Arabidopsis thaliana: one gene and its partners. The protein of the gene in region 1 interacts with the protein of each later gene in a pairwise test. Each region holds a gene or a part of one and is shown on either strand. Other genes may lie near its edges.

What was found.
Region 2: the proteins of AT3G10260 (region 1) and AT4G08230 interact in a two-hybrid assay, tested with the Arabidopsis thaliana proteins (one large-scale study listed by BioGRID).
Region 3: the proteins of AT3G10260 (region 1) and LCB1 interact in a two-hybrid assay, tested with the Arabidopsis thaliana proteins (one large-scale study listed by BioGRID).
Region 4: the proteins of AT3G10260 (region 1) and AT5G61340 interact in a two-hybrid assay, tested with the Arabidopsis thaliana proteins (one large-scale study listed by BioGRID).

The regions. Positions count from the first base shown.
Region 1 is NC_003074.8:3,169,229-3,176,394, reverse strand, and holds AT3G10260 (Reticulon family protein), read left to right. Parts: upstream 1-3,402; 5' UTR 3,403-3,826; coding exon 3,827-4,067; intron 4,068-4,141; coding exon 4,142-4,322; intron 4,323-4,406; coding exon 4,407-4,548; intron 4,549-4,650; coding exon 4,651-4,720; intron 4,721-4,812; coding exon 4,813-4,982; 3' UTR 4,983-5,173; downstream 5,174-7,166. Other genes in the region: GYRB1 (DNA gyrase subunit B), read left to right, coding at 25-166, 567-665, 780-908, 1,122-1,236, 1,318-1,385, 1,473-1,586, 1,663-1,779, 1,869-1,922 and 3 more; AT3G10250 (histidine-tRNA ligase), read left to right, coding at 5,977-6,024, 6,140-6,245, 6,596-6,778, 7,058-7,166.
Region 2 is NC_003075.7:5,186,374-5,193,843, forward strand, and holds AT4G08230 (glycine-rich protein), read right to left. Parts: upstream 3,422-7,470; 5' UTR 3,202-3,421; coding exon 3,183-3,201; intron 2,178-3,182; coding exon 2,074-2,177; intron 1,992-2,073; coding exon 1,808-1,991; intron 1,709-1,807; coding exon 1,674-1,708; 3' UTR 1,412-1,673; downstream 1-1,411.
Region 3 is NC_003075.7:17,216,389-17,225,101, forward strand, and holds LCB1 (long-chain base1), read left to right. Parts: upstream 1-1,520; 5' UTR 1,521-1,899; intron 1,900-1,919; exon of another isoform or gene 1,920-2,028; intron 2,029-2,109; 5' UTR 2,110-2,209; coding exon 2,210-2,315; intron 2,316-2,427; coding exon 2,428-2,522; intron 2,523-2,646; coding exon 2,647-2,738; intron 2,739-2,818; coding exon 2,819-2,912; intron 2,913-2,990; coding exon 2,991-3,063; intron 3,064-3,157; coding exon 3,158-3,290; intron 3,291-3,428; coding exon 3,429-3,603; intron 3,604-3,704; coding exon 3,705-3,845; intron 3,846-3,931; coding exon 3,932-4,027; coding exon of another isoform or gene 4,028-4,051; exon of another isoform or gene 4,052-4,119; coding exon 4,120-4,261; intron 4,262-4,360; coding exon 4,361-4,488; intron 4,489-4,562; coding exon 4,563-4,736; 3' UTR 4,737-5,237; downstream 5,238-8,713. Other genes in the region: AT4G36470 (S-adenosyl-L-methionine-dependent methyltransferases superfamily protein), read right to left, coding at 4-87; SFH12 (SEC14-like 12), read left to right, coding at 5,711-5,726, 5,806-6,131, 6,228-6,494, 6,580-6,657, 6,741-6,842, 6,934-6,983, 7,071-7,170, 7,250-7,324 and 5 more. UniProt on the Arabidopsis thaliana protein: Component of serine palmitoyltransferase (SPT), which catalyzes the committed step in the synthesis of sphingolipids, the condensation of serine with palmitoyl CoA to form the long chain base 3-ketosphinganine.
Region 4 is NC_003076.8:24,659,867-24,666,496, forward strand, and holds AT5G61340 (uncharacterized protein), read right to left. Parts: upstream 3,352-6,630; 5' UTR 3,278-3,351; coding exon 2,198-3,277; 3' UTR 1,813-2,197; downstream 1-1,812. Other genes in the region: AT5G61330 (rRNA processing protein-like protein), read right to left, coding at 1-72, 157-254, 454-469.

The DNA of each region.
Region 1 (7,166 bases):
TATATAATCTCGTTATTGTACCAGGTGCTCAGATGCCTATTCAGACACGATGCTGGGATACGCGAATAGTATTCGGACCATAGATGGTGGGACACATATAGAAGGTGTGAAGGCTTCATTAACAAGAACTCTAAATTCCCTTGCAAAAAAGTTAAAGGTTATCAAGGTGGGATACAACTTACCAACTGCGTTTTTTCCACTTTATATTTCCACTCTTAGAGGCTTAGAGCCTTTTTCCCCTTCTCTTTTCCTCCTTTTTCATGGAAACTGCAAATGCCTAATTGCGGTTAGTTGGTCATTATTGTGGTTGAAAGAGTCTTCTGAGATAATGTAGGTCAAGGGTTATATTATCTATTCCTCTCCATGGATTGAGACTAAATTTAAATACTCATCTGCACTTAAAAGACATGCTTTACGGACAATTAATAATGTACTACCATGATTGAACTGTGAAACATGCCAGTTATAGAGGTTGTTTTTTGCTTACATTTAAGCATTTATCTTGACCTGTTCTGAAAAGGTTGCTAACTCATAGTGTAACTTATTGTTGTTGGTTATGTTTTCAGGAAAAGGATATTAGCTTAAGTGGGGAACATGTTAGGGAAGGATTGACCTGCATTGTCTCAGTCAAGGTTCCGAACCCTGAGTTTGAAGGTCAAACAAAGGTACTAGGGAGCATAATGATATGTTGACCCTCATTTTTGTCAACAATCTCTGGTCAGCAGGCCATAAGTTTTCTTGGATTCTGTTGATCATTTTAATTTTTTTGTGTCCCAAAGACAAGACTAGGAAATCCAGAGGTGAGAAAAATTGTTGACCAATCAGTCCAGGAGTACCTCACGGAGTACTTGGAATTGCATCCGGATGTACTTGAAAGCATTATTTCCAAATCCTTGAATGCGTACAAGGTGCGACATTGAAATACCTGCTCATACTGTCACATCTTCACCTACACACACATGCACTCAAACACTCAAACATGTGTTTTATCCCTTGAGAAGCATTTTCTGATATCTGTGATTAGCGTATTCTTTGATTGAGTATGTGTCTCCTACAGTATGTCTAGTTACTAACTTCAACCAAATGACCATGGATTTTCCTTGCTGACTCTTTCTTTTTAGGCTGCTCTGGCTGCCAAGAGGGCTAGGGAGTTGGTAAGATCAAAAAGCGTTTTGAAGTCATCCTCACTTCCTGGGAAACTTGCAGATTGCTCATCTACAGATCCTGCAGAATCTGGTATGCATTAACCAATATGAAAGTGCCTTGTAAGCTGTGAAAGTTAGTCAGTTTATTGACATCTATCTCCTATGCTACCAGAGATTTTCATTGTCGAAGGAGATTCGGCTGGTGGCAGCGCGAAACAGGGTCGTGACAGGCGTTTCCAGGTAAAAAAAATCATTCTGCTCAGCGTGTCACTAACAGGCTCTGCTTCTATTTTGTTAGTCTGTAACACTGTATTTCGATCTATGCAGGCAATTCTTCCTTTGAGAGGCAAAATTTTGAATATTGAGAGAAAGGATGAAGCAGCAATGTATAAGAACGAAGAAATTCAAAATCTTATTCTTGGCCTTGGTCTTGGAGTTAAGGTAATATATCCTTTTTCATATCCTGCTGTTTGTTGGTATGTTCGGAAAACTCAGTTTGACATAAAACTTATTTCAGGGAGAAGATTTTAACAAGGAGAATCTGCGTTACCATAAAATTATCATCTTAACAGATGCAGATGTTGATGGTGCACATATCCGGACACTTCTGTTGACCTTTTTCTTCAGATATCAGGTACTAGTTTAGTTTGATAAAACATTAGTTGAAGTAGCCTTGATTGCTGATTGAGTTATGTGAAATTTAATGAAATTTACTTTCTACAGAGAGCCTTGTTTGACGCGGGTTGCATATACGTTGGTGTTCCACCTCTTTTCAAGGTAAGCTCTTAGTATCTATAATCTTATGCTTCAGATTGAACGGAATTTTTTTCTAAAGCTAGTCTCTCTGTGAAAACGATCAGGTTGAGAGGGGGAAACAGGCGCACTACTGCTACGATGATGCAGCTCTTAAAAAAATCACTGCTTCGTTCCCTGGAAACGCATCCTACAACATTCAGAGGTTCAAAGGTAAAACATCCTACTTCTCACATCATGAATGTGTTCTTTTGGAAAGGATAAATAACTATGAAAAGTAATGTATAGTAGTTGTTATGTGTTAGCTATTAAGATACTCTTGAGTGTGTGCATAACGAAATCTAGATTAGTCTCAACTATTGGATTCTATGTAATGTTTCTTGCTTTTGCATCTGCAGGTTTGGGTGAGATGATGCCTGCGCAGCTATGGGAAACAACGATGAATCCAGATACAAGGATATTGAAGCAACTAGTTGTTGACGACGCAGCAGAAACGAATATGGTCTTCTCATCTCTGATGGGTGCTCGGGTAAGCCAATGAATTGCCAGACTCGGACTCATGATAATAGTCAATAAACTGGCATAACTCATCGTGACAATGTTATGTTCTGTGTATGTTTCAGGTCGATGTCAGGAAGGAACTCATCAAAAGTGCTGCGACTAGGATGAATCTGGAGAATCTCGACATATAACACAGCTTATAGTTATTGCTTCAGCTATATACAAACAACAAAGAAACGACTCTGGTGAAATGCAAAGGGAGACATCATCATTTCAAGGTTAAATCATATAGTCACAGGCCAACAGGATTTTGTTCTTCTTCTGGCCTATAAAGGACAAAATTCATTGTTAGGATTATCTCTTTCAATGTCAAAATTTAGCAATTCACAAGGCTCTTTGTTGGGCGTTTCTTTCCATTGGAACTAGAATTTTTCTAGAGACAAGAGAAATTTGCATTCACTAGGTATTTACTATATATTATGACTTCAACAATTTGGCATTCCTGAAAATCATGCATGCGACGAAGTTAAAACTAATGATTAGAAGGAAGATGAGAAGGTAACTATTGTGCAATGAATATCTTCTCTGCCTGTTGTATTGATTTTAATTGTATTCGAGGTTAAGTTTTGACTGATGTTTTACTAGCGATCGCAGAGTGATCGATAATTAACAAGTTTATTTTTCGATTTGGTAGGTATATAGTGAATTAAACATGATTTTTGTTCTTCCTGAACAACCTAAAGCAGTGTTATGAACGCATCACGCATGTAACAACCAGTCAACCATATTAGTGTGACTTTAATTCATTGAATAAATGAAATTTTTTTATTTTCAACAAGGCTTGTAACGGTTGATAAATCTACTCAGAAAACTTCTTTTTGTTTGTCTTGCAAATACAAACGATACGTTTCAACTCTTTTTTTGGCGTCCAATAATACTTCTTAAAAAATAATTTGTTTATTGTCATGAGCTACACGTGGGAAGACAAGTCCTATCCATTATTACTACACACTACTCCAACATTTGCCCACATTTTGAAAAAAACATTTTTTTGTAATTCAATTATTCGACACAACCAATCCCATCTCTTGTTTCACTTCCGCCCTCCATCTTTCTTCGTGATTGAGAGAATCTTCAACGAAAGAAAGCAACTTTTTTTGGGTGAAATTCACAGAACAACCAAGGTTTTTCTTCTTCTTCTTCTTCTCCAGTTCCTACAGGTTTACTCTTACTCATCTTCATCTTTGTCTCGTTCTTGCTCTTCAATTTCTGGTCTTTTTGTTGTTCTTGTCTTCTCGCCAAATATACTAAGATCTAAGTTTTATATCATTGTAATTATCACCAACGAACTGTTAAGACCAAATTTGATTACTCGAAATGGTTTTGGGTTTAGGGTATGAAGAACTGATCAAAAGATTCAATTTTTTATGAAGTCAACTTTCATCTGCAAATTGAGCAATCTCAGATTTCGATTGTGTTTCAGAATCATGCCTGACAAGAACATCGTAGAGGACGTTATCGGTGATTTGGTGGATAACTTCACGGAGACTGTTCAGAAGAACAAACATGGTTCCTCCTTCTTCGAACAAGAAGATTCCGTCAGTTCTCGTTTCAACCGTTTGTTTGATCGCCAGAAGCCAATTCATCATGTCTTAGGCGGTGGCAAATGTAAGAATTCGTATACAGGAACATAAATATGAGATTGGTTTTTCTTGTAATTGAGTATTGAGAGATTCCTTCAGCTGCTGATGTGTTGTTATGGAGGAACAAGAAGATCTCTGCAAGTGTTTTGATGGGAGCTACCGCAATTTGGGTGCTTTTTGAATGGATCAATTTCCATTTCCTGTCTCTCGTTTGCTATGCCCTCTTGCTTGGTATGATTGCACAATTCGTTTGGTCTAACGCCTCTGGATTCTTAAACCGGTAACTTGTTGGAGTGTTGTTGTCATTATTATTGGTACCTTGTGATTGCAATCTAACACAATGTCCTTTAATGTCTCAAAGCAGCTCACAGTCTAGAGTGCCTCGCCTAGTTCTTCCAAAGGATTTCTTTGCTGAAGTCGGTGTGGCCGTTGGAAAAGAAGTTAACCGCGGTTTGTTGTTTCTTCAGGACTTGGCTTGTAAAGGGAATTTGAAACAGTTCCTCATGGTGCGTTGTTTGTTTCAATAACCACAATCTTGTTTGTATAATGTATTAGCACTTTCATTACTATGCTAAGATAGAAACTTTGATCACAATATCATTTTTCAGGCTGTAATCGGACTATGGGTAGCTGCAATGGTCGGGAGCTGTTGCAATTTCCTAACTGTTTTGTATATCGGTGAGTGGTTCTTATTAGTGTATCCTCTTTTGAGATTGGAAGTTGAGTAATACAAGACTTTAAAGGGATGCATTTTATGTGTGTGTGTGAAGGGTTTGTTGGGGCACACACAATGCCGGTTCTGTATGAGAGATACGAAGACGAAGTGGATGGTTTTATGGATTCTATGATCATGAAGTTTCATAGTCATTACAAGAAGCTTGATACTGGGTTTCTCAGTAGAATCCCAAGTGGAAAGTTTGGATTAAAGAAGCGTGAGTGACTAAATCACTCAAGCATTTTCTTATTTTACCTTGTTTGTTGTTAGAACAATATGGATTATGGTTTGCTAAATGAATGTTTTGAGAATATTATTCATTCATGTAGATTTTGTGTATTTCCTTACTAAACAATACCTTGTCCATGTATTTGTCAATACCTTGGTTAATAAGAGAATCATCATATCTGTCAAAATTATACAAGTAGATTGAGAGTTCATTAACTCAATGTCTAAAAATGTAAGACTTAAAACAAGTTTGAATCAAAATTATTTCACAAATCAAAAGTATGGTTTTCTTATTTCGTAAGAATCGTTGACTAATATTGACCGGCTGGCTAATAAGAAGATCAGATAACTCTACAGGTATGGGATCCACCATTGTCAAACATTTTACACGTGTCAGCTTCCTGAGCTTCGAAGCCTGAATGTTAAAATTAAAAAATTTAAAAGAAAGAAATATAAAAAGAAGTAAATCAAAGAAAATGGAGTAAAGAAATTGATCCACGATCGATCAACAAAGTGAGGTTAGGTTCCATCTCCACCTCTTTCTCTCTCGAATCTTCTCCGATTAAAGGTGCTCTTTTGCTTATGAAATTTGTGTTTCTTAAGCTAATCGAATTTGTTTTCTTGATCGTTTTGATGTTCTTTTTTTTTTTTGTTATTGTTGTTGATTTGATGTGATCCGGTTGTATTTGAAGACGAAATCGATTCGAAGTGTTGAGGTTTAGTTTGGGGTAAAATAGATGATTCTCAATCTGTTCTTATTTGTGAATTATTTTGTATTTCTGATTCTCTGTTTTTTTCTGTTTTTTTTTGTTTTTTTTTGGATTTGAAACCTAGAGAAAGAACCTTGTTTCATTAGTGGGAGATAAAAACCTCTAATGATTTGATATAAATTTTTGAACTTGTACAGATTCGAATCGATTTCCCTTGTACCCTCTCTTAATACTGGTTCTTGCCTGACAGGAACAAGGTCTGGTTTACAAAAGTCTCATAGATGTCGAGTGGAACAGTGAGAAGGGTTTCACGTCAAGATATACAACTGGTAATAACAACAAAAATAGATCATGATGAAGGAAGGCCTTTGGTTTCATTGTCTGAATCTGCGACAATTTGAATTCGTCCTCTTCCAACTCAATAAAACTTACTTTTGGTTTCAGGTTCAAAACCTTATAGAACGATGCCTTCAACTTTACATGAATCAGAAAGAAGTTGTGGATACTTTACTAGAGCAGGCTAAAATCGAGCCTGGGTTCACAGAACTAGGTAGCCACTCAAATACTCTGTTTTCTTTTCATAGAAATTAGCATCTGATTCTGTAATCCTTGTTCATTGATGAATCTGGATTCATTACTGTGAATGAAAAGGTATTAATATATCTATTACCAGTTCAGGACATCTGTAGCCAAAATCATGTGTGAATGATTTTGTTGTTGCTTAAAACTGAAATCTTATGTATTGTTTGGTTCAAGTGTCACCAAGAAGGTCTTATTGGTCAGAACCTAGTTAGGAAGTGCTCAATAGATCATGAAATATGAGAGAATATGTATAGTAGTGAGTATCGATGATAAAAAATGGGGATTTATGATAACACGCTTTCTTTTTATGTTTAAAAGTTTGGCAGAAGCTTGAAGAAGAGAATCGGGAGTTTTTCAAAGCTTACTATCTTAGGCTAATGGTTAAACACCAGATAATGGAATTCAACAAGTTGCTTGAGCAGCAGGTTCACCACATGCGTCAGATGCATCCAACTGGTGTTGCTTCTGTCCAAAACACAAATGGTTCTCATCTTCAATCAAGTAAGATTCGTTTGGAGTGAGATGGATTTTAATTTCTGCATTTTAGGGTCTCTTTATTGCTTGTATACTTTTGCTATGAATTGTTGTTCAAGTGTTGTAGTAAACAGTCCTCATATGCATTGTCTTGTTTTCTGGCTTCCACTTTTGCTGCCTTAGTTCTTTTCAAGGTTTCTTTTTCCTGTGAACATTATGTGTTTGTTGTTTTCCTTAGATTAGTCATTCATTCAAGTCGCTAACTGATGAGTATTAAATAGCTAATCTATGTGATTTTCTTAACAGTGAATCAGAAACAATTATGCTATCCCTCTGAGCACACTGACCAATCTTTGAAGTCTGAAAGTGCACATCATCCAATGGCTTCTAGTCTGTCTAATGCATTCCTCAATGG
Region 2 (7,470 bases), on another chromosome or scaffold:
ACATTGGTGTGAAGAAAAATCTCATAATTTAGGATCAATGGCTGATAAAAAAAAAATCAGATCTGAAACTTTCTCCGTCGTCGCCGTCTTCCTTCACGAGCTCCTCCTCTCTTCCTAAACTTCAATCTCCAGGTACTTTTTTTCTGGTCTTTCATTCTGTTATTGTGTTTGCGATGGCTTCAATTTCAGTTTCCAATTTTGGTATTGTATTGTTCTTTGTAATTTATCAGATGAAAATGAAAGATAGTCGTTGCACAATTATACGTTTCGATTACGGAGGATGTTATTCGAAGAACGGAGATGATATACGATGGAATCCGAAAGAAGATCAAATCTATACTTTAGTGATGAAAGGAGCATTCGAGGAGTTTACTTATTCCATGTTGGTTGATAGAGTATGCAAGAAGATTAGTGTAGATGAATCCGCGACGATGTTGAAGTTAAGTTACGTTCCGTTGTTAGAGGATCCGAAGAGGCAAACGTATATTTTGGATGATGAAGATGTTTTAGGATATTTAATGGAAGGTGATAGTAATCAGCGGAGGAATGTTATGCATGTGGAAGTTGTTATTGAGCAAGTTTCGGGAGACGATCGAAGAAGTGGAATTGCGAATGATGCGGTGTTGGTTAATGGTGAGAATGATTTGAGTGATGGAGTTGCGTATATGGATAATTATGAGATGTTTGTTGATGATGTACAAGTAGATGAGGAGGTTGTGAATGTTGAATGGGAAGATGGGATTGGTTTGAGTTTAGGTCAAGAGTTTGAGAGTAAGCAGGAAGTTCAAGATTTAGTTGAGAAAGCTGAGCTTCTGAACTATTTTGAGGCTGCTATAATCAAGTCATCACCTGGATTATACGTGTTGAAATGTCGTGGTGGTAGTGGTTGTAAATGGTATCTACGAGTTGCGCAGGGTAAGAATTCGGATCGTTTGTCTGTTAGAACGTACAACAAGATGCATACGTGCTCTCGGATAACTACTAGTACACGAAGATGTAAAAGAGTCGCTACACCACAATTAGTTGCATCTGTTTTGCAAGAGAATTTTCCAGAGGGGTTCGATACACTAAGACCGAAAAACCTCATAGATTTGGTTCGAGAAAAACATGGCGTTAAGGTTTCATACGCTACTGCTTTGAGAGGGAAAAAACAAGCTGCAAGAGATTTGCGGGCTAATTCACATACTCCGTCAGATTGAAGATCAAGTTAAACCTTTGCATTTTTTTTTATCTCATGAAACCAAACGTTGAGGATTTTTGTTGAAAAGAGTCCAGTTTAGGAGTAGTCTCAAATTGTGAACTCTTGCAAAGTTCAAGAGTCTAAAAATGTCTCATGCTTTGGAATATCAATCTTTTGCTGGCATCATTAACCTTGGATTCTTACAAAAACCAAGCAAAGAAATTGTGTGATGACTGACACAGCATTTATGCTTTATTCACAGGTTTCGAATTCGAATTGACACATCTATTATAGGTGAATTTCAGACTTCAAACGTTCTCAGTATCTAAATACAAAAAGCTTTGATTAGACCCAATTACAAAATACACCAGAATCATTGTTCCTTTGATTTTTCATATTCCAAAAGCATCGTTTTCAACACTAAGTAATATGTAAATATATGATATATCCCTTCGTTTATTCTTGGGCGCTCCACTGTCCACACAAACAAGGATTAGCCACAGCACGAGCCACATGCAGGTAGGGAATCTGAAAAACATCAGATTTGAGTCAAAATCATTCACAAGGTCTATGCGTGTTTTCTATCATCAAATGAATCAAATATCAAACTCATCGCGGGTGACTTACTGTGGTCAGCTCCACGGATATCATTCAAACCACGAACATTGTCGAGGCCCCCACGAGGAGGTCCACCACCCCTACCACCACCACCACCGCCACTGCCTCCGCCTCCACCACCACCGCCACCCATGCCACCACCCCACTTCTTATTAGGCTTAGAGCCTTTCCTGTATGCATCTGATTTCTCCATCTGTCCAATAACACTCTTAGGTCAGTCAAAGCTTGAGACAGCTTATGGAACCTAAATCCAAGAAACGAAAGCAGAATCATACCGAAAACATGGTTACAAAGAAGACTTGTATTAGATTAATGATGGACAAGAAGAAATCTTTGATCGTCCTTAGTCTCCATATTGGCCTCTTCGCTTTAACCACACCTGGTACATGTTCCAGTGTTTTTCAATGTCAAATACAGTTAATATATGCACCATCTATCTCTGTTTTCAGAATATATCTCCAGCTATCAATTAAAACCCCAAAAAAACAAGATACACAGATTTGAAGAAGCTTCTACATTCCCTATAAGACCCAAAAATCCCTCCTAAACTCCGACGACAAATCTCTACAATGCTAGAAGAACGTGAGACGTGAATATAGAACACGAACTCGGTTAATGCGCTTATTGCATTTGTCCAAAACGCTGTTGCTTGTCCACAGTCATACATTAATATCGAATTGAGCTTCTATGATCACAAACTATTGAACATGATCTCGCTTTACGCTAACTTTATAGAAACAATGTCACCTTACAATTACTCAGCCATAATCAACACTCTTTCACTAACTTTTCCCACTATAAATCTCAAAAGTTTTAACTTCGTTTAAGCTTAGCCATTTAGATATTCAAAGTCTAGAAATGTCTCCTGCTATGGAATGCTCATCGAGCTTTGTATTCATATCAGTTTTCTGAGAATCATATAATAATGGAATGATTATTGACCTTATCTAATTTCCATCTTCCATAAACCTATAAAGTTTCCCATAATGGTGACACATCATCCCGTATAAAACCTCAAAACCCTCTAAACATTCATGCTCAATCCGAATTCTGACACATAAAACCTAACTTCATAGATATACTAAAGCAAAAATTCTGTAGAGACAATGAATATAGCATTACTATAGTTATGAATCTAATTGACCTAATTTAAAGATTCATGATCAATCCAAATTCAGGAATATAAAACCTAACTTTTACATATACATCAAATTCACAAATTCTGTAACAATCAAAGCTTAATAGTTATGAATCTATGTTCAAGGAAAGAACAATTACAGGTTTGATTGAAAAACGAACAATCAGATCGAATTTAACCAAATTGATGCCAAAAAAGAAATCCAGAAATCGAAAAGAAACAGAGAGAGAGAAGAGAATCTCATACCTCCTTCGACGTACGCCATTAAAGTAGAATTCTGGGTTCTTCTTCTTATTCGTCAACAGCAAATCTCCAGAGATCAATTAATTATCCTCCAAATAGCGATTAAGGTAGATTTTATATCGTCTCTTTTGACTCTTTGACGTGTTTGTGTTAGAAGTTTCGCGACGTCTACGTGGATTTGTCACGTGGCATACTCTCATTGGAAACTGTGATCCTTCTGTTTTCCCATTCTTTAAATTTCTGTTTCATTACGTGAATAAATTGGCAGGAAGATGATTTGATTCGTTTTATAATCTAAATGGTCTGGTCTACAAAATATTCTTTTTTTTTTTTTGTTAAAGGGTTTGTCTATCAAAAAATTCAATCCAAATGTTTTAATAAATATTGTTCGTTTCCATTTTTGGATATTCAATAAATTTTTGTTTGTTTGGGTAATTTTTATAAATTTTCATCTCTATTTAAATAATTTTAACCAGAAAATGACTAAAATATCTATACTTTAATCAACTTTTAATTTTAATTTTAGTCTTAGCTATATTAATTGAATTACTGCTTTAAATATATTTACAACTAAATATTTTTCAAATTATTATTTTGAACATATAAATTATTTTTTTGGGTTTTGACAAAAAAATATAATTTTGTGGTTTTGCCGAAAAATATAAGATTTTGTGTTTCTTACGGAAAATATGATTTGGCAGAAAATATAATTTTACGGTATTGGTGGAAAATATGATATTGTGGTTTTGGCGGGAAAACATGATTTTACAGTTTTGGTAAGGAAATATGATTCCGCAATTTTGGTGAAAAAAATGTGATTTTACGGTTTTGACAAAAACATAATTCGATTTTTTGATTTTGATGAGAAAAGATAATTCCATAATTTTCCGTGAAAATCATGATTTTATAGTTTTGGCAGAATTACGGTTTTAGCGAAATTTACGACTTGAAAGGTTTTGACAAAAACTTTATTCTCCAATTTTTCTGGTCATAGTGAAAAACAATTCCGTTATTTTTCCGCCAAAATCGTGATTTTTTTGTTTTCGTTGAAATGTTATTATGCAATTTTTTCGCAAAAAACACAATTTTGACCCAAAAAAATTGTTCGGAAACAAGCTTTTTAAGATTTTCGTAAAACGCAATTTTGCAATTTTAACGGAAAATTATAATTTGTGATTTACGATATTTTGGAAGAAAATTAGTGCAGATATAGAATTTTTAAATATAAAATGAGAAATTAACAATATTTGATATATAATTATAATTGGGAAAAATGTCATTTAAATTATTAGTTTACCATTTTTGTTGGTTTAAAGCATGAACTCTGGACCGGGTGATTTAAATCCTCAATTTTATGTTGACTTTGAATTTAATCATGAATTCTTGTTGACTAAGCCAATTGAGGCACAAATCCTCTCGTTTTTACGCCATTAGTCGATCTAGAGACGATAATTACTTTGAATTCAAAGAAGAAGATGAGAGAATCCGAAGAAAAAAAGAGAGAAAAAATTGAAAACTGATTTTGGTGATTTGGGGTTTTTGATTAAGGAATTTCTAACGATGTGCGTTAATTGACTTAGTTAACGAGAGTTCGTGATTAAATTGAAAGTCAACATAAAATTAGGAATTTAAATCACTATGTCTAGAGTTCATCCTTTAAACCAACGAAAATGGTAAACTGATGATTTAAATGACATTTTTCCCAATTGTAATTGAGGGAAATTTGAATATTTGCAATTTTTGGAAGAATCATCTCTATCTGACTACACCATTTAAACTCATCCAAATTTTTGGATGTTTTTTGGATGAGTTTGACAAATACATCCTGATGGCTCATCTCAATGATGTGTTTAAGTGCACTAAACGAACATAATTTTATGTCTTCATCTAGATGGTCCATTTGGATGAACAAACGAATAACACCTTAGTAGTTGAAGTTTGATTACTTTATGAAAAAGGACATCGAATAGTTTGATCTTTTTTTTTTTGGTAAAAAGTGAAATTTTATAGCACTTTATATATTTGACATAATAATTAGAAAAATTTGAAACTAACTGTAAAGCTCTACAATTTTTTTTAAAACAACACAAAATACAAAAGTTTGCTGCTTAGTGGTTATGGACAAGTAACAAGTAGAATTACCGATTTCGGGCTCGTGAAGCTTGGATATTTGCGTGGTTGCAGCAAAACTGAAGAATTGGAATCCTCATCGTAGTTGCCACAAGCCTAAGTATCCAAGATCCGTCTTCAAAACCTGAAGATAGAAGCGTACAGATTTTCCGAGAACTAATGGAAAAAAGCATAAGCAATCGTGGATTTTTTACACTAGCTCATCGAATTAGCGATAGCAATTAGACTTATTCACCGCATCATTTCAACACTTGGCAACCAAGTCAATGCACCAAGTAGGTAACGTTCACAACAAGAACCTTAACCGAAACACCTTAACAACAAAACTTTACCTTAATGTCACCGAAAATGAAGCAATGAACGAAGACAAGCAGTCATGAAGAAGCCATAACCACAAAAATAACATAAGTTGACAAAAAAAGAAATTATTGGACTATAAGCAAAAAATTTCAACTTGTCTCACCAAATAAACATACAACATTTGGTAATCAGAAATTAGGATCGATAGATTTAGATCAATATGTTTTCTCTTTCTCTAAGAGGTTTTGCCAAAAAGGAAAAACACAACCAATTCTTAAGGTTCTAAAATTTCTTGTAGACTTTTGACAAATATACAAACAAACATTTGAAACCGGACTCGTATTTTGACATGTTTCAAATGCATCCCATGTCAAAACATTTGCTCTCAAATGGTAAACTCTTTGAGAAACTAAGAGTAATAATATAGTTTCTTCATTAGTTTCCCTCGGACAAGATTACCAATTGAAACAAAAAATGTGATTCAAAATATAATGATTTTTAAATAATTAATATTATATAATCGAATATTAAATAATAAAAAATAAACTTAATTGGTCATATTTATTTTAAAGACTTAAAAAAAATCTGAGATTCCACATAGATATTCAATAATGACATGACTCTTAAATTTCTTTTTGGTTGACAAAAAAAGATACTAAGATGATAACCCACTTTTGTAATCTCAATTAATATATATGTAGGATTTTCAATTAAAAAGAAAAGAAAAAAATACAATTCTAATTTTCAATTTTCGTTGTTCAAATGATATATAAGAATTCTTACTTTGAGGACTTCAATTTGTGAGCTTTCGTACGATTGTTTCTTGATCTCTCTTCATAATTTTTCTTATTTCCATATCCTTTTTTTTACTTTTCATAAATATCTTAGTATATAAATTTATTAAAATTTAAAAATTTAAACTAACATAATGGCAAAAAATGGTAAGTAATGACATGTCCAACTGCAATTCGTTGTTTAAAATCCTATGTGGACGCCTCAAAAGCAAATAGCTTCAATTTTTTCTATAGTATAGATTTTTTAATATATAAAGCAATTTTAAATTTTGGTAATTTAATTAATTATATTAAATTGCATTAAATTTTATTTTTGAAATGAATTTGGTTAAATATATATTAATATGTTAATTAATTAGATTTAAATATATTAACTTATGATGTGTCTGTTTTGGATTAGTTGTGTAAAATCCTATAAGGGTAATATTACATAATTATAACTTCTTAGCTTCCTTTTTTATAAGTTTAAATTTAACATTTGTTATTTTAAAATAGAAACTAATTACTATTTTAAAAAATGTTAATTAATTAGATGTTAAATATGTTAATTATTGATGTGACAACTCACGATTCGTTGTTTTAAATCCCACGTGAACGCTTTTAGAAGCAAATAATTTCAACTTTTAAGAGATTTGTGTAGAATTTATAAATCCAATGTTATTCAAACATGAATTTTAAAAATTCTCATGAAATTCAGTGTTATTGAACTAATGATTTCAAAATCCACCTTAAAATCCATTGTAATTGAAAACAATTTGTGGATTTGAATTTTAATGATTTTGGAAGATTTGAGAGGATTTCAAAAATACAGAAATCCAAATCTCATGGTTTAAGGTGAGATTTGAATGGATTTTACAAAAATCATATGAATTTTCCTCAAATCATCAAAATCATTTAAAAACTCAAGGAAACTCAAATCACTTTAAATTCTAATTTGAATACACCCCCTTATCTTATTATATGAAGTACAGTTTTGAAAGTTACTAACTCACAAAATCATGACACGTGTCAATTTTAACGATTTTAGATTTCGACATGTGTTAATTTTTTTTTTTTACTTTTTTCTA
Region 3 (8,713 bases), on another chromosome or scaffold:
TACCTGGAGGGAAGAGTTTCTGGCATAACTAGTTTTTCCATCTCCTCCTGTCATGTAAAACTCTCTCTCCATATCCTTCTTATCCATCACAATAACAATAAAAGTGAAGAAATTTAGTATAATTTTGGGTTAGGGTTTGTTCTTTTGGTGTTAGAATTTGCTTTTCTTAAAGGAGAAATCTTTGGCCTGTCACTTCATTCTTCCATTACCCTACCTTTTTTTTTGTGTGTTTACTTTTCCATCTATTTTCTTTCTTGAAAATACGATGTGGGATTCGTTCATCATTGGTCATGATTCAACGAAAATAAATTTTTCTTTGGTTGGATGAATTTAGTTTAAGGAGAAATGGCAGGTGTAGTCCAAAGTGACCAAAAATAGGAATAAACAAAGTAGAGGATAATGTTTCATGTAAATATAAAGGATAAATTAGTCAAACAACATCATGATGGCTTCATGTAATGTTTGTACTTTCTTTACTCTGTTCTTGCTATCAGTGCTAGACTCTGTTCTTGCTTTGCGTGGTGGACTCTATTGCCATTTCTTGTTTAAGGACTTTTATTCGTTTAAACATAAACTAAATTTCATTAGAAAAATTACCCTTGCTAGAATCTATTTGGTGATTTATATGAAAAATCGTGGAATAGAATATGGATGATATTTTTAATTGTAATGTAAATGTTTCAAAACATACAAAAAAGTATAGGAAACTTTGGGAGATAGGAGGAAGAAGACTGATTGACTTTTGAAGGTAGAAAAAGCTATACAAGAATGAGTGATGATGATTGGTGTGTGTGTGTGTGTGACCACCATTTCCTTCTCTTTTTCTCTCTTTCTCCTTACCGTAAGGCTTTTTTAGTAATCTTCTTTCTCTCTCTGCCTTGCCTTCAAGATTTTAGTGGTGGTCATGAATGCTTGTTGCGTCATAAGGGTAGTGTAAATGCTCTGTTAGGTGAGAGAGACTGTGTGTTGGTACTTGGTATGATAAGGTTTTTGTGGTTAGAGAGAGGGCCGAGGGGGACGCACGCGTGTCGCTTGAGGGATTAATGCAAAACCGTAACGTATCAATCTTTTTTCTTCATATAATCTCTTCTTCAACCATGATCGTCTCTCTCTTGTTGCTTACGTTTTGTTTTTTCAAGTGTGGTGAAAAGTTAATCACTTAAAAGTTAGTCATTGGGCCTCTAACAAAGCCCATATTTAAAACCTAAGACCGTTCCATTAAAATGACGTCGTATCTAAGCAACTAATTCGTGAGATGTAAATATGAATATGATATGATACTATGGTTGAACAGAATAGGAATAATATATGTATAGTGTAATGTAAATGCTACAAAATATTACAGAAAAAGTAGGGGGAACTTTGGGGTCGAATATGATTACAAGAAGGTTAGAAAAAAGCTAAACAAGAATGAGTGGTGATGATTGGTGTGTGTGACCACCATTTTCCTCTTTCTGTCTCTTCCTTACCTTTAGGCTTTAGTACTCTTTCTTTCTCTCTTTGCATTGTCCTTTAAGACTTTAGTGGTGGTGATGAATGCTTACTAGTGACTGTGTCACAGTGTGTGCTGTTGAAACATTGGGCCTCTAGGCCCATATCTAACACTTAAACGGCGTCGTATCGATGAACCAACACACAGATCTGGGCCCAGGATTCTACTGACGTATTACGAACATAGACAGATCCGCTCGTCTTCTTCTTTTACTTTTTTTTTTTTCTCTCTGAAATTGATTTTTTTTTTTTGCCGTCTGCGTTATCAAAAATCTCGAAAAAACGTTGAAAGTCAATCTTTTTGCATCGCCGAATTTGAACAACACTCCTCGTGTGTTTGACACTCTTGTGGGCACGATACCTTCTGCTCCTTGTCCATTTTGCCACCCAAAATCCAATTGGGATCAGGTAACGTTCCTCGTTTATTTGTCGGATCTATTTGTAATCATATATACTTTCTTAATCTGTTCTCCGAGATTTCGATTTCTCGTTGCTCAGTGATCCGATGCCAGATCTTTCCTGATAGTTTTTTTTTGGGTCGAATTTGGATTCAAAATTGCCACTTTTTGTTGTGAATTTTGAAAATTTGTAATACTAATTGAAGATTGGGTTTTGTAGGTTTTCCCAAAGTTGAGCTAGCTTCTCTTATGCTCGATTCGTCGAGCAAATTAATACTATAGAAGAAAAAAGTACAGAGCTTTATTAAAGCAAATTAGCAATGGCTTCGAATCTCGTGGAAATGTTTAATGCTGCTTTGAATTGGGTTACTATGATTCTGGAGAGTCCTTCAGCTAGAGTTGTCTTGTTTGGTGTCCCAATCCGAGGTATAGATTTGAAGAAACAACTTTAAGTGAACTTTGTCTGTCTATCCAAGTTTGTTGGTTATTTGAGATTACTAAAGATTTCAACTTTTTTGTTTTTGTTTTCGTTTTCCAGGGCACTTCTTTGTGGAAGGGTTGTTGGGTGTTGTCATTATCATTCTCCTCACTCGGAAGAGTTATAAACCTCCCAAGCGACCATTGACCGAGCAGGTTCTGTCTCAGATCCTTTCTTGATATTGGTTTGATAGATCACATAGGATTTGGTTCGTGGTGACATCTTTGATGTGTGGTATAGTTGAAATGTATTGAGTTTTCGGGGTTTTTTATTACTCAGGAAATAGATGAGTTGTGTGATGAGTGGGTTCCTGAACCTCTTATACCGCCAATTACTGAAGACATGAAGCATGAGCCACCAGTTCTTGAAAGGTAACGTAGAAGACTTCTATGTAGTTCGTTGTATAGCCTTATTCTGTGTTATGCTTAAAGATTTTGTTGGGTCCATACAGTGCTGCTGGACCGCATACAACAGTTAATGGAAAAGATGTGGTGAATTTTGCCTCAGCTAATTATCTTGGGCTCATTGGCCACGAGAAGTTGCTGGTAACGTGAAGCTACTTTGTTTTCAATACAATCTCTCTTCTGTTTGAATAGTTTTATTTAAGATTTGTCTTATGCCAGGAATCATGTACTTCTGCATTAGAAAAATATGGGGTCGGTTCTTGTGGGCCTCGTGGATTCTATGGTACAATTGGTAAGAAGACAATAATTTTCTAAATAGATACTTTGGTTCATCCATTGGCTCGCTTGGAAAGGGTTCTTACTGTTTGATTACTTCTCTTGACTAGATGTCCACCTTGACTGCGAAACCAGAATATCCAAATTTTTGGGTACTCCTGATTCAATCCTTTACTCTTATGGACTTTCCACAATGTTCAGCACAATTCCTTGTTTCTGTAAGAAAGGCGATGTCATTGTTGCGTAAGTACACAATTTCTTATAACATCGTTCTACTTATTAGATTACGTTAGTAGAAATCCCAGGATTACATTGAACATCTTTGTTTGAAACTTTTTTATCTCGATATTAAACTCATTCTTGTCTTTTCTATTTTCTTAGTGATGAGGGTGTTCACTGGGGAATACAAAATGGACTTCAGCTTTCAAGAAGTACAATTGTGTACTTCAAGCACAATGACATGGAATCCCTTCGAATTACCCTTGAGAAAATCATGACAAAGTACAAGCGCTCAAAGAACTTGAGGCGTTATATTGTAGCTGAAGCTGTATATCAAGTACCTGGCAGTTTTCTTTCTTCTCCTGCTTCCATATTTTGAAAATTCTCCCTGAACTGTGATGCTTACCCATTTGCCTTTGGGTATGTTAAAATCTACAGAATTCAGGTCAAATTGCGCCTCTGGATGAGATTGTAAAACTAAAAGAGAAGTATCGGTTTCGTGTTATATTGGATGAAAGCAACTCTTTTGGTGTGCTTGGCCGTTCTGGGAGAGGTCTTGCAGAGCATCATAGTGTCCCTGTAAGTATGATTGACACACATTTTAGTAGTGTTCTCATTTGCCAAACCTGATGCTAAAAATTTCACGGCGGTTTATCTTTAAACAGATTGAGAAGATAGATGTTGTGACTGCTGCAATGGGCCATGCATTAGCCACAGAAGGTGGATTTTGCACTGGGAATGCCCGCATCATCGATTACCAGGTAAACATCGATCATGCTGATTAACTAATTACAAACAAAATTAAAAAACTACCGATAATAGAAACTTTTCTCTGGGACGCTCAAATGCACAGAGACTTAGCAGTTCAGGATATGTGTTCTCTGCTTCTTTACCACCATACCTTGCAAGTGCTGCTATCACCGCCATTGATGTCATTGATCAAAACCCTGATATGTTAGTTAAGCTGAAGCAAAATGTTGCTCTGTTATGGAAAGGTTTGATCTTCAAGTTTTAATCTAATCTAGCAACAATTAGAGTTTGATTTAGTTTGTTATCTTCCTCTAATTGAAAAAGAAATGCTGGGAACAACGCAGGATTGTCAGATATCAAGGGGATGTCATTAACAAGCAACCGGGAATCACCTATTGTTTTCTTAAAATTAGAGAAATCTAGCGGTTCAGCTAAAGATGATTTGCTTCTACTTGAGAAAATGGCTGACCGTGTAAGTTCATTGTTTCTTTGCAAAACCAAATCTAGACCCTGTCCCCGTTTCTTGACATGACTAGATGCATGCAGGCTCTGAAGGAAGACTCATTGTTGGTTGTGAGTTCTAAAAGATCATTTCTTGATAAATGCCGGTTACCTGTGGGAATCAAACTCTACGTCTCAGCGGGACATTCGGAATCCGATCTTCTTAAAGCGTCGGAGTCACTGAAGAGACTTGCTTCAGAGCTTCTACTCAAGTCCTGAAACACCGAAACTCTTTTTTCTTCAAGAACAACAACACTGAAGGGAACTCTTTGAACACATCCGTGTGAGATAGTAGACAACAGAATCCGCAGAGTCAGTAGCTTGAAGATGTTCATAGCAGATTCCTAAACTGGTTCTCCACTTTCAGTGATGGGCTTGTGGTTGATCTGAAGCTCAATTGACGAAGGAGGATTATCGAAGACAATGGCTTCTTGTTCTTACATTTATTTCATTTGATCATCTGAGTTCTTTTTTTTTTTTTCCTACTCATACCCTTCAATGATCAAGTAGCTTAGTGTTGTTGCCGAAATTCAAAAACTTTCAATTTATGGGAAACAAAAAAGTTCATGTGCTGACATCAGCCTCTTAAGGCTTTCTGAGTTTCTTGCGGTAAAAGAAAGTGTTTTTGCCTCTCTCAAATCTCAATAGTATTGACACGTGTCAGTATAACACTCGTGCATAATTGACACGTGTCAGTATAACACTCGTGGGCGGTATAATGTGAACGAAAGAGCGAGGGACAGGTAATCTCTCTTCCTCTGTTTCTAAGTTTGTATAATTAGAACTGCATAACGAAAAACAAAAACAAAACAGTGACCAAAAAAAGAAGAAGAATCAATGGTTGGGGAAAGAGAGAATATGAGGTGGAGCTTTACCTCGACGTTAATGGAGTTGAGAATCCAATGGAACGATTTTGAGAGATTTTCGGAGCAATCTCACTCTCCTTTTATCTTTCTCCTTCCTCTCATTTCCTCTTTGCAGAGGTAATTTATCTTTTAATTGTCTCTCTGTTTTGTTCTGTTTTCTTAACTTCATGTTCATCGTTATCGTTGTTCGAATTTGATTTGTAATTAGGGAATGTGAATTTCTTACAGGAATTTGGCAAAGGGCATTGGCTAAAAATAATAAGACACTCGTTAGAGTGCTCGTCCCTCGTGCCCTTACCTGCCTAATTCCAACTATCTGGCAAAATCATGACTTTGATCCAAGGTATAGTAAACAAAAATGAAGAGATTTTTTAGTTCTCTGTTTTGTTATCTTCTTGTTCTTGATGTTGTTTTGTGTTTAGATGCCGAGTTGAAACCAAGGATGGGTTCTTTTAAGAAGAGGAGCTCTTCTAAGAATTTGAGGTATTCAATGACAAAGAGAAGAAGAAGTAGCAAAGTGATGTCTGTGGAGATCATCGAAGATGTGCATGACGCAGAGGAGTTGAAAGCCGTTGATGCTTTTCGCCAATCGCTTATTCTCGATGAGCTACTCCCGGAGAAACACGATGACTACCATATGATGCTTAGATTTTTGAAGGCTAGAAAATTTGATCTTGAGAAAACCAAACAGATGTGGACTGAAATGCTTAGATGGAGGAAAGAATTTGGTGCTGATACTGTCATGGAGGTATGATTATTATTCTAGAGGAACGTTTTGCAGATTTGAAAATGGTCTCTTTGAGTAGTACTAACATTCTCTTCTTTGGTTTTGTATATTTTTAAGGAGTTTGATTTCAAGGAAATTGATGAAGTGTTGAAATACTACCCTCAAGGACACCATGGAGTTGACAAGGAAGGACGACCTGTGTACATTGAGAGGCTTGGTTTAGTAGATTCTACCAAGTTGATGCAAGTCACAACCATGGATAGGTATGTCAACTACCATGTTATGGAGTTTGAGAGGACCTTCAATGTTAAGTTCCCAGCGTGCTCTATCGCCGCGAAGAAGCACATTGATCAGAGCACAACTATTCTTGATGTCCAAGGAGTGGTATGTAAAAAACCTATGTGAGAAGACCTTCAATGCTTTTCCAGTATGTGACTAAACATGCCTTTCCTTGTTTTTGTTATAACAGGGACTGAAAAACTTCAACAAGGCTGCTAGAGACTTGATTACTCGTCTTCAAAAGGTCGATGGTGACAACTATCCTGAGGTGTGATTTATATCTCTGCATGCTCAATTCTTTTCCACTGGTCTATGAACCAGTAGTTTAACTTTGTAACGACTTTGGATCAGACCTTGAACAGGATGTTTATCATCAATGCTGGCTCAGGATTCAGAATGTTGTGGAACACGGTTAAGTCCTTCCTTGACCCGAAGACTACAGCAAAAATCCATGCAAGTATTCAAAACCTTTTACTATTGAATCTTCTTCTGAATGATAATTAGTTTTCACAATTTAAGTAATTATACTTTGTTTGAATACCAGGTTCTTGGCAACAAGTACCAAAGCAAGTTGCTTGAGATAATTGATGAAAGGTGAGCTATGCAAGACGATTAGCATACAAATTAATCTATGTTATATATTATATAACATGAAACTGATTCTTATTAATTTGTGACCAGTGAACTTCCTGAGTTTCTTGGAGGTTCATGTACTTGTGCTGACAATGGTGGCTGCATGCGCTCTGACAAAGGCCCATGGAAAAATCCAGAGATCATGAAGGTGAATGATTCTTAAGACAACTATAGTGACAGCAACATAAATGACAAGAGTGAACTTGATTTTTCATTTTTTCTTACAGAGAGTTCACAATGGTGATCACAAATGCTCAAAAGGATCCCAAGCTGAAAACTCTGGAGAGAAGACCATCCCTGAGGTCTTTGCTTACTTTGAGCTTATCTATATCTCTTGAATAGTTTCCTTTACCTGAATCTTGATCACTCCTTCCAATGCTAATTATATTCAATGATCTTCCAGGAAGATGACTCTACAACAGAGCCGGCTTCTGAAGAGGAAAAGGCTTCAAAAGAGGTCGAAATTGTAAGAATGGCCAACCTCTAAACTCTTGATATCAAGTTCGCTTTTAATACTTAATCGTTATTCGTTTCTCGAGACTCAGGTCCCGGCCGCTCACCCAGCTTGGAACATGCCAGAAGCTCACAAATTTTCCCTCTCAAAGAGTAAGATGATGACTCTTGTGCATCTCTTTTTCTTGCAATATGGTTGTTGTATGTTAAAGCTAAGACATATGGAGCTTTAACGCTTCTTGTACTTTCTCTTCTAAGCAGAAGAAGTTTACGCCATTCAAGAGGCGTGCAACAACGCTACAACAGAAGGAGGGAGGTCACCTATTTTCACAGGGGTCATGGCTCTTGTGATGGGTGTTGTCACTATGATTAAAGTGACTAAAAACGTCCCAAGGAAACTAACCGAGTCAACCTTGTACTCGAGCCCCGTGTACTGCGATGATGCATCAATGAACAAGAGTGCGATGCAGTCAGAGAAAATGACTGTACCTGCAATCTCAGGGGAAGATTTCATGGCCATTATGAAACGAATGGCTGAGTTGGAACAGAAAGTGACCGTCTTAAGCGCGCAGCCAACAGTTATGCCTCCGGATAAGGAAGAGATGCTTAACGCTGCCATTAGCCGGTCCAATGTATTGGAGCAAGAGCTTGCTGCCACCAAGAAGGTACATACATTCTGAATCATTAAGATAAACTTCCTCCATTAAAGTTCTTTTTAATACTAATTTTCGTTACAATGCAGGCTTTGGATGATTCTCTTGGTCGTCAGGAGGAGCTTGTGGCGTACATCGAGAAAAAGAAGAAGAAGAAGAAGCTGGTAAGTCTTTCTTTCATTAGACTCTTGGAACTTGAGACACAAGCCATCAAGTCTTGTGCTTTTTTCACATAACCTCTATGACTGATCTTTTGTTCTGCTTGTTCTTGGAACAGTTCAACTACTGGTGAGAGAAGAACCATGAAGCGAAGGCTTAGTGGTGGCTTTATTTGTTTGATTGTATCCAAAATATCTCTGACCAAAATCATCAAAGCCAAGCTTATTGTAAAACCAATTTCTTGTGTTTCTTATTATTAAAGAATGGTGAAAAGAAAGAAAGTTTTGTTCTTTCTCTTGTGTATATTATCAAAATACCATGTACATCAAATTGCAATTTTCTTTTGTAGTTTCCTACTAGTTTAACTCACAAGTATATAATCAGAAGCGGTGGTTTAGTAATTATCAAATAAACCCATGAGTGAAA
Region 4 (6,630 bases), on another chromosome or scaffold:
ATCTTCCATGCTATCTACTTCATCATCCTCTATCCCATCAGGTAATTGATCATCTTCATTGTCGCTTTCGGCCTATAATATAGAGAACCCTCAACCAAATAAATTCACCTATACCATCTAAATAACTTAAACGAGACAAAAGCAACATAAACATACCTTAAGGTTTTCTTGGTCGCTTATGTCTTCCGATTCACTGTCAAGTCTTGCTCTTTTAGACCTCTTTGACCCCCCAGCCATTTTAACAACTTTTAATGCTGCAATCACGAAAAACTAACTCAATTGAGGAAGGAGAAACTATTATACAGTGGATTAAGCAATAAAAATATTGAAACAAATAAAGAAGGACCAAATATAGAGCAACAATGAGGTAACCATACCATCAAACAAGCTTTGTCAAAAGCTTCAAACATAAAAAAAAAAAAAAAAAAAAAAAAAAAAAAAAAAAACAGAGACCTATAGATAATCTCATAAAAACAGCTCACGTGGATCAGTCAAAGGGTCTTTGATCAGTGCAGAATCACGAGGGTAGCTAATTGGTGATAAGGAAGCACAAGGAGACAAATGTATATAGGGAGAATTCTAGATTGACAATCAATGATAGAAAGCAACCCCAAGCCTTTAAAAATCGACCCATCAGATTGCACACACAAATCAGGTTCATTGTTGGAGAGGTTGCGGAGCCACAGATGCCATGGCTCAAGACATGGACAAGGGCCCTCTCCTATAAAGTTCAAAGATTGACTCCTCGTAACTAAATTAAACATCAAAAGCCACACACTTTACTCATAACCTGCTCAGACCTTTTACTTTAACATTCATCATCTCCACCACAATGTCACAAACAGATTACAAAGAACAACATTCTAGAGCTAACACAAGTTTAAAGCAAGAAAACTTTTGAATCAAACTAGTTTATGAGTTCGAATGTTTCAGGAAGAGAAACGATTAAATGAAAAAGGGAGAGACTTTGAGCAGATACGCAAGAGAAAGCAGTGAATTTTGAAAATTAAAAGGAATCATACAAGCAGAGGAGCTTACCTAAAAGCTCTGTAGAAGCTGAGACGCAAATAGGAGAGGTTATATCTTCGACTTGGAATCGCAGAAACTGGGAATCGTCTCAAGCACAAAGCTGTCTACGAGCAGAGGAAAAGTAAAAGTAAGAAGAAGCTCTCAACCAACTCTGGAAATATTAAAACCCTAGAGGTTTCGCTTAACCCATGAACCGGCCGGTTCAACCAAAAATCCGGTTTAAATGTTTTAATTTTGGTTTGATAGGACCAGATTATACGATTCGGTCGGTCGGACCTGGGATTATAAACCCTTGATCCTAATTCCTAAATATGGACCATGAATGATTACATTGTTTTGTATGTTTGGAAAGCTACAAAATTTTGCTTGTTATAAAATTCATCTTTTTGTGCTTAATTGTTTCTTGATCTCTTTAGATGCAACATTTCCGGATTCCACTCTTTTTAACCTATAAAAGTAAATTAGATTCATTCATAATTTCTCCATTAGAAGAAATTTTAGGTAGTACTGAACTATTGTATTAAAGGGCTTTTTGTTAAAGAGGTTCAAGTAGAGAGATTAGTGATGTAGACCACCCACTAGCCATTTTTTGTCTTTTTAAGTTGAGCTTTTATCATTAACACAATTTCAATGTATTATTAGGATTTTCATTCAACGAAAAATACAAAAAGTTCAATTGCTTTCGCCTCTACCGTCTATTTAAAGATAATTGTGACATTTCTTCTTCTCTCTTTGTAATGAAAGATTTTGCTTGAACTTATCCTTGCTCAAAAACAAAAGACTCTTCACTCTTGTTAAAGTGTGAATCTAGTCAACATCTTCATAACTTAAGGAAGTAATCAAAATCATTGCTAATTAATATATTTTGTCGGCAATGAAATTATACTGTAGGATTAACCAAATGTGAATTCCAAGATTTGCATTAATTAAAATTTCTGGTATATTTGACTTTACAATGTGGAAAAAAAAGAGACTAAAATAAAGAAAAGCAGAAACAGAGGAAGAAGAAAAAGTTTTGCAGATCCTGTGATTGTTCTTTACTGTGTGTGTACCTTTGCTCTTCTTTGAAGTGAAAGCTACTTGAGATTATCCTTAAAGAATCAATAATCTCATAAAGTTTTTCACTTTTTTTGTATAAGTAATAATTACATCAACCAACACAAGAGAGTCACAAGATTTCTTGCAAGTTCTTTGATCCTTTGATGTGTATCTTTGTGTTCTCTGTTTCGCTGATTTGGATCTTGATTGAATACTCGTCTTCTCTACCGATATTTTGATCTTCCTCGTTTTTGATGCAGCTCTGGTAAAAGAGGAAGTTGACTATGGTGTCAAGAACCAAGAAGAGAGCGTATAAGTAAGCTATGAAGGTTCCTTCAAGAGCTATGGATATGATATCTCTGTCTCCATTGTAATAAGATCTCATGACTCGGTACTGAAACAAGGCTTCGACTCCTGCTAAGCCGAGATTGGTAGGCAGAGCAAGAGCCATTGCTGTTGAATTTCTTCCGCGAATCAGAAGACACGCCTTGAGGATGTTTGTGTATCCTCCCGAGGAAGAAGAAGGTGATGAAACCAAGGCTAGATTAGAGATGACAAAGGCGTTTGCGATGATAATTGAGTAGATGATTGCTGAGGATAGGGAGAGGAAAGTGTAGAAGTTTCTTGAAGAGAATCCAAAGGCTTCAAGGGTATTGTATGCTAAGAAAAACAGAGCAAAAGCAGAGGCGTTTGCAGAGAGAAGGAAGAAGAAGTTGCAAACGTAAGTTTTGAGAAGCCGGAGGTAGAAAACAGAGGAGGAATCTGCAGAGTGATTGTTTGATAGAAGTTTGATGACGTAAGCTTTGGATAAAAGGAGGAATGTGAGGGAGAAAGGAAGAGTGAATAAAGAGGAAGATAGGGTTTGTGAGAGTTTAAGGCTTAAGATGTTGAAGAAGTCATGAGAAGAAGAGAAACCCGCTCCGCGGAAGAGCATGTTAAGCCTCATGTGAAGGGTGGAAGAGGAAGAAGAGAAGAAAGGCTGAGAGAGGAGGAGACCGGCGGAGAAAGGGAGGGCCACGGCGGCTGCGGTGGTGACACGGTGGTAGTTTTGGAGGAAAGTGTGAATTGACCTTCTCATGATCTTGCTTGGATCCTCCATTGTCTTCTTCATTCTAGTTTTTGCTATTTTCTTTTCTTTGGAGAAGTTTGAATATGTGTGTTTCTTGAATGATCCACCAAATCTTGAAAGGGTTTTCTCAATGCAGGTCATCTATATATATGTATATAAAATATGTAATGATTTTTATATTATTTATATATTTTTTTGCTAAAATTTAATTGTGGGTTGGGTGTTAGAGAAGAGAATGGAGATAGGCCAACCGATTTTGCCTGAAGATGAGGAGTTGTTTAGACAAACTAATCAAATTAAAACTCTTCTTTTTCTTTGTGAAGCAAAGTTTTTTGCATGGAATAGAATCTTTCGTGTGAGTAAAATAATACATAACACCTCCTTGTTAGGTTTTATTGGGTATAATATAGATTTGCTTCGTAGGTAATGTTGTTAGGATAAATGAATTTCCTTTTCGTGATTTAATTTTTATACATATATTCTAGAAAAGTCTTTTACTTGTGTGATATGCTTAGTGATTTAATTGGTTTTGGATGCTTACTATACACTCCATTGTATATATATATATGTGTGTTTGTGTATATATATATATATTAAATTGTGACAGAGTGAGTCATGTATTAGTATTCAATTGAAAGCTTAATAATGATAGGTTTGAGGAAACTGGAGGCTTAGCTTTCAAGAAATTGAATAATGATAAGAGCTCAAAAGAGTAAAGTTTTTAATAACCAAATTTATATTGGTAAAAATGGTACTCTTGTTATGCTTTTGATCATAATGTAAACAACAAAAATGATTTTTGAGTGAGAAAATTCCAAACTCTATTAACTTTTCTTGAGGCGACTTGATCATATATATGCTTACCAAACCTACTAAGTTTAGCTTTAATGAAAAATAAGAATGTTTAAAAAAAAACTCTATCCTAGAACACTTGAATACTTATTAATTACCAATTGTGTTCTTGTACCAATACAATAATATGTTAACCAAGTTAATAATTTATTTTAAAATAATCAAGAGAAAATGGAAATTAGATAGAAGAAATCATCAAACTTTGTCCAACCTGTGGCATGCATTTGGTGTGCAGTCTTATTGACTTGGACTTGGTGGTTAGGGAGTTCTCCATTTCCTTGTTTGAAATTTCTGATTTTCTTATATATAGAAATATATCCACTCGCAATAATATACTTTAATTAATGGCATATGGTAATAGTTTAAGCGTGAACCATTATTATTGAGTTTCCATTAGACGAACAAAATCAACGAGAAAATACACCTGGAAATTTGCAATTTTATTTTCATATCTATTTTTAGTTGAATGGTTTAACGTTTACCAGGTAACACATCTTCTTGTTTTATATAAATCTACATATAGTCCATGGAGAAATAAATCTAGAAAAAGCTTGCTAAAATCTTAAATGGAATAATCTTAATAGTTATAGGTATAAAGTCTACTTGTAATTAGGTATTAGTCTACTAATAATTGGAGTTATAACCATTTTATAAAGTGAGCTATAATGTTTGATTCTAAGCTACTCCAACAAAAAGGAACTCGACCGTACATATGTGTAAAAGCAAGAACATAGACTCAAAACATTTTTTATATGTGATATCTACTGAAGGTCTCTTACGAATATTCATTCTATTTTCTTTAGTTTATACAAAGATTATGTAATGTTAGAGAAAAGTATATGTCCATCAATAATAATTGATATTTTGGCGTCGACCATGACTGTTGAACGTCTATTTTTGGTTATTTGCTGAAATGTTGATGTGTTTTTTTTTGTTTGTTTATTATGACATTGTATTATCACAGTTTTAATTTTTAAATTATATTCTGATCAATTTTATAATTTAGTAACATCAATAGACGCAATAATGTATTTCTACAAAATGAGTATATATTTTCTTTTATTGATGTTAGAATTTTTAAAAATAAGGATGGTAGAATCCAACAGAAAAGGTTGTAGTGTTGGTGCTTAGTACAACCGAACATCTAACAAACTAACAACACTATGGTTAAGGTAAATTACCAAAATTAATCCTTCTTGTTGCCATGCCTCTTTCTTACACGACTTTCATTTAAGTGTTCTATTAATATTTGTTTTTTTGAGAAAAAGTGTTTATTAGTTATTCCATCTGTTTCTTAATAAATAATGTTTTTGGAAATTTTTGTTTAAAATTAAGTGATTTCTCATTTTTTTTTTAACATAAAGTTTATTAATTTTGATGTTAGTTGACCATTTGTGTTCTGAATTTTGTTTTATCATAAAAAACATATATATAATTTCCTTAATAATCAACTAATTTGATATACAACACCCATAATGACCTAGTTTATTTATTTTCATCAACAATATACATATTCTGAATTTGAGTGACAACACGACTTTAACACAAACAATGTCGGATATCATGATCTCATATAGTTACTTTTTAGTTGATCAATAAATATTGGTCACATTTTTTTGTAGAAAGTCAAAATCGAAAGGATGAATATGGATCCTATAAATTCTGTTTTTGCAATAAAGGAAATACTTCCAAACTCTGGTATGGTGCAATTAGAAGGACCTCCAAAAACTAGAATGGACAATATGCTACAACCAAATCTAAAGTCAACATTCCTCACATCACAACTTTGTTATACTTTTTTTGGTTCTTCTTTTATTAACTACAAAATTTGAATTACATGCCACAGGTTAAACTTATGAATTATGATGTAGACAATTATAACGAGAAACTTACAAATTATATTTCATGTTATTTAAATCTACATTCACAACGATAATTAACAAAACATTTAATGTACAATTAGATATCGATTAAATACTAAATCTCTCTCTATATATATTTTATACCATCACCATCATCATTATTATTACCACATATAATTTGAATAACGAAGAACCAATCAATCATTGTTTATATGTGATTTTGGATGGTGTTGTTTTATCAACCGATCCAGAGTATTGTGACATGTAATCTACCTAATCAATTATACATTTGAGTATGTACTGGTAAATGAAATCACAAGTCGCAACTTTATACTTATATACATGTAACTCTCTATAGCATAATTAGAATACACAACAAAATAGAAAAGTATAACCATTAATAAAGCAAAACCGTTATTTGTTTCACTCATTGACCTAGAATATATTTCCTTGATGTATATAACCGTATCAAAGACTCTATAACCGAATCTTGATAGAGATTATAAAACAAAGTTACCTCTAATGATTGACTATATATAATTAGTCTTTGTCAACACGAGTACTTATTTATATAACTAGAATGGTTAAAATTGTTAAAAATCACGTGCAACTACGGCTGGATTATTTACTTCTGATCTGTAAAGCAGTGGGATCGATCCAAAATAAAACTATATTGCAGATGGTTTAGTGTATAAATTAAATCTTAGAGTTTATCCAAAGTTAAGTTGACTTAGAAACATACAATAAGACGAACAAGTAGTAGTTCAATAGAGCAATATT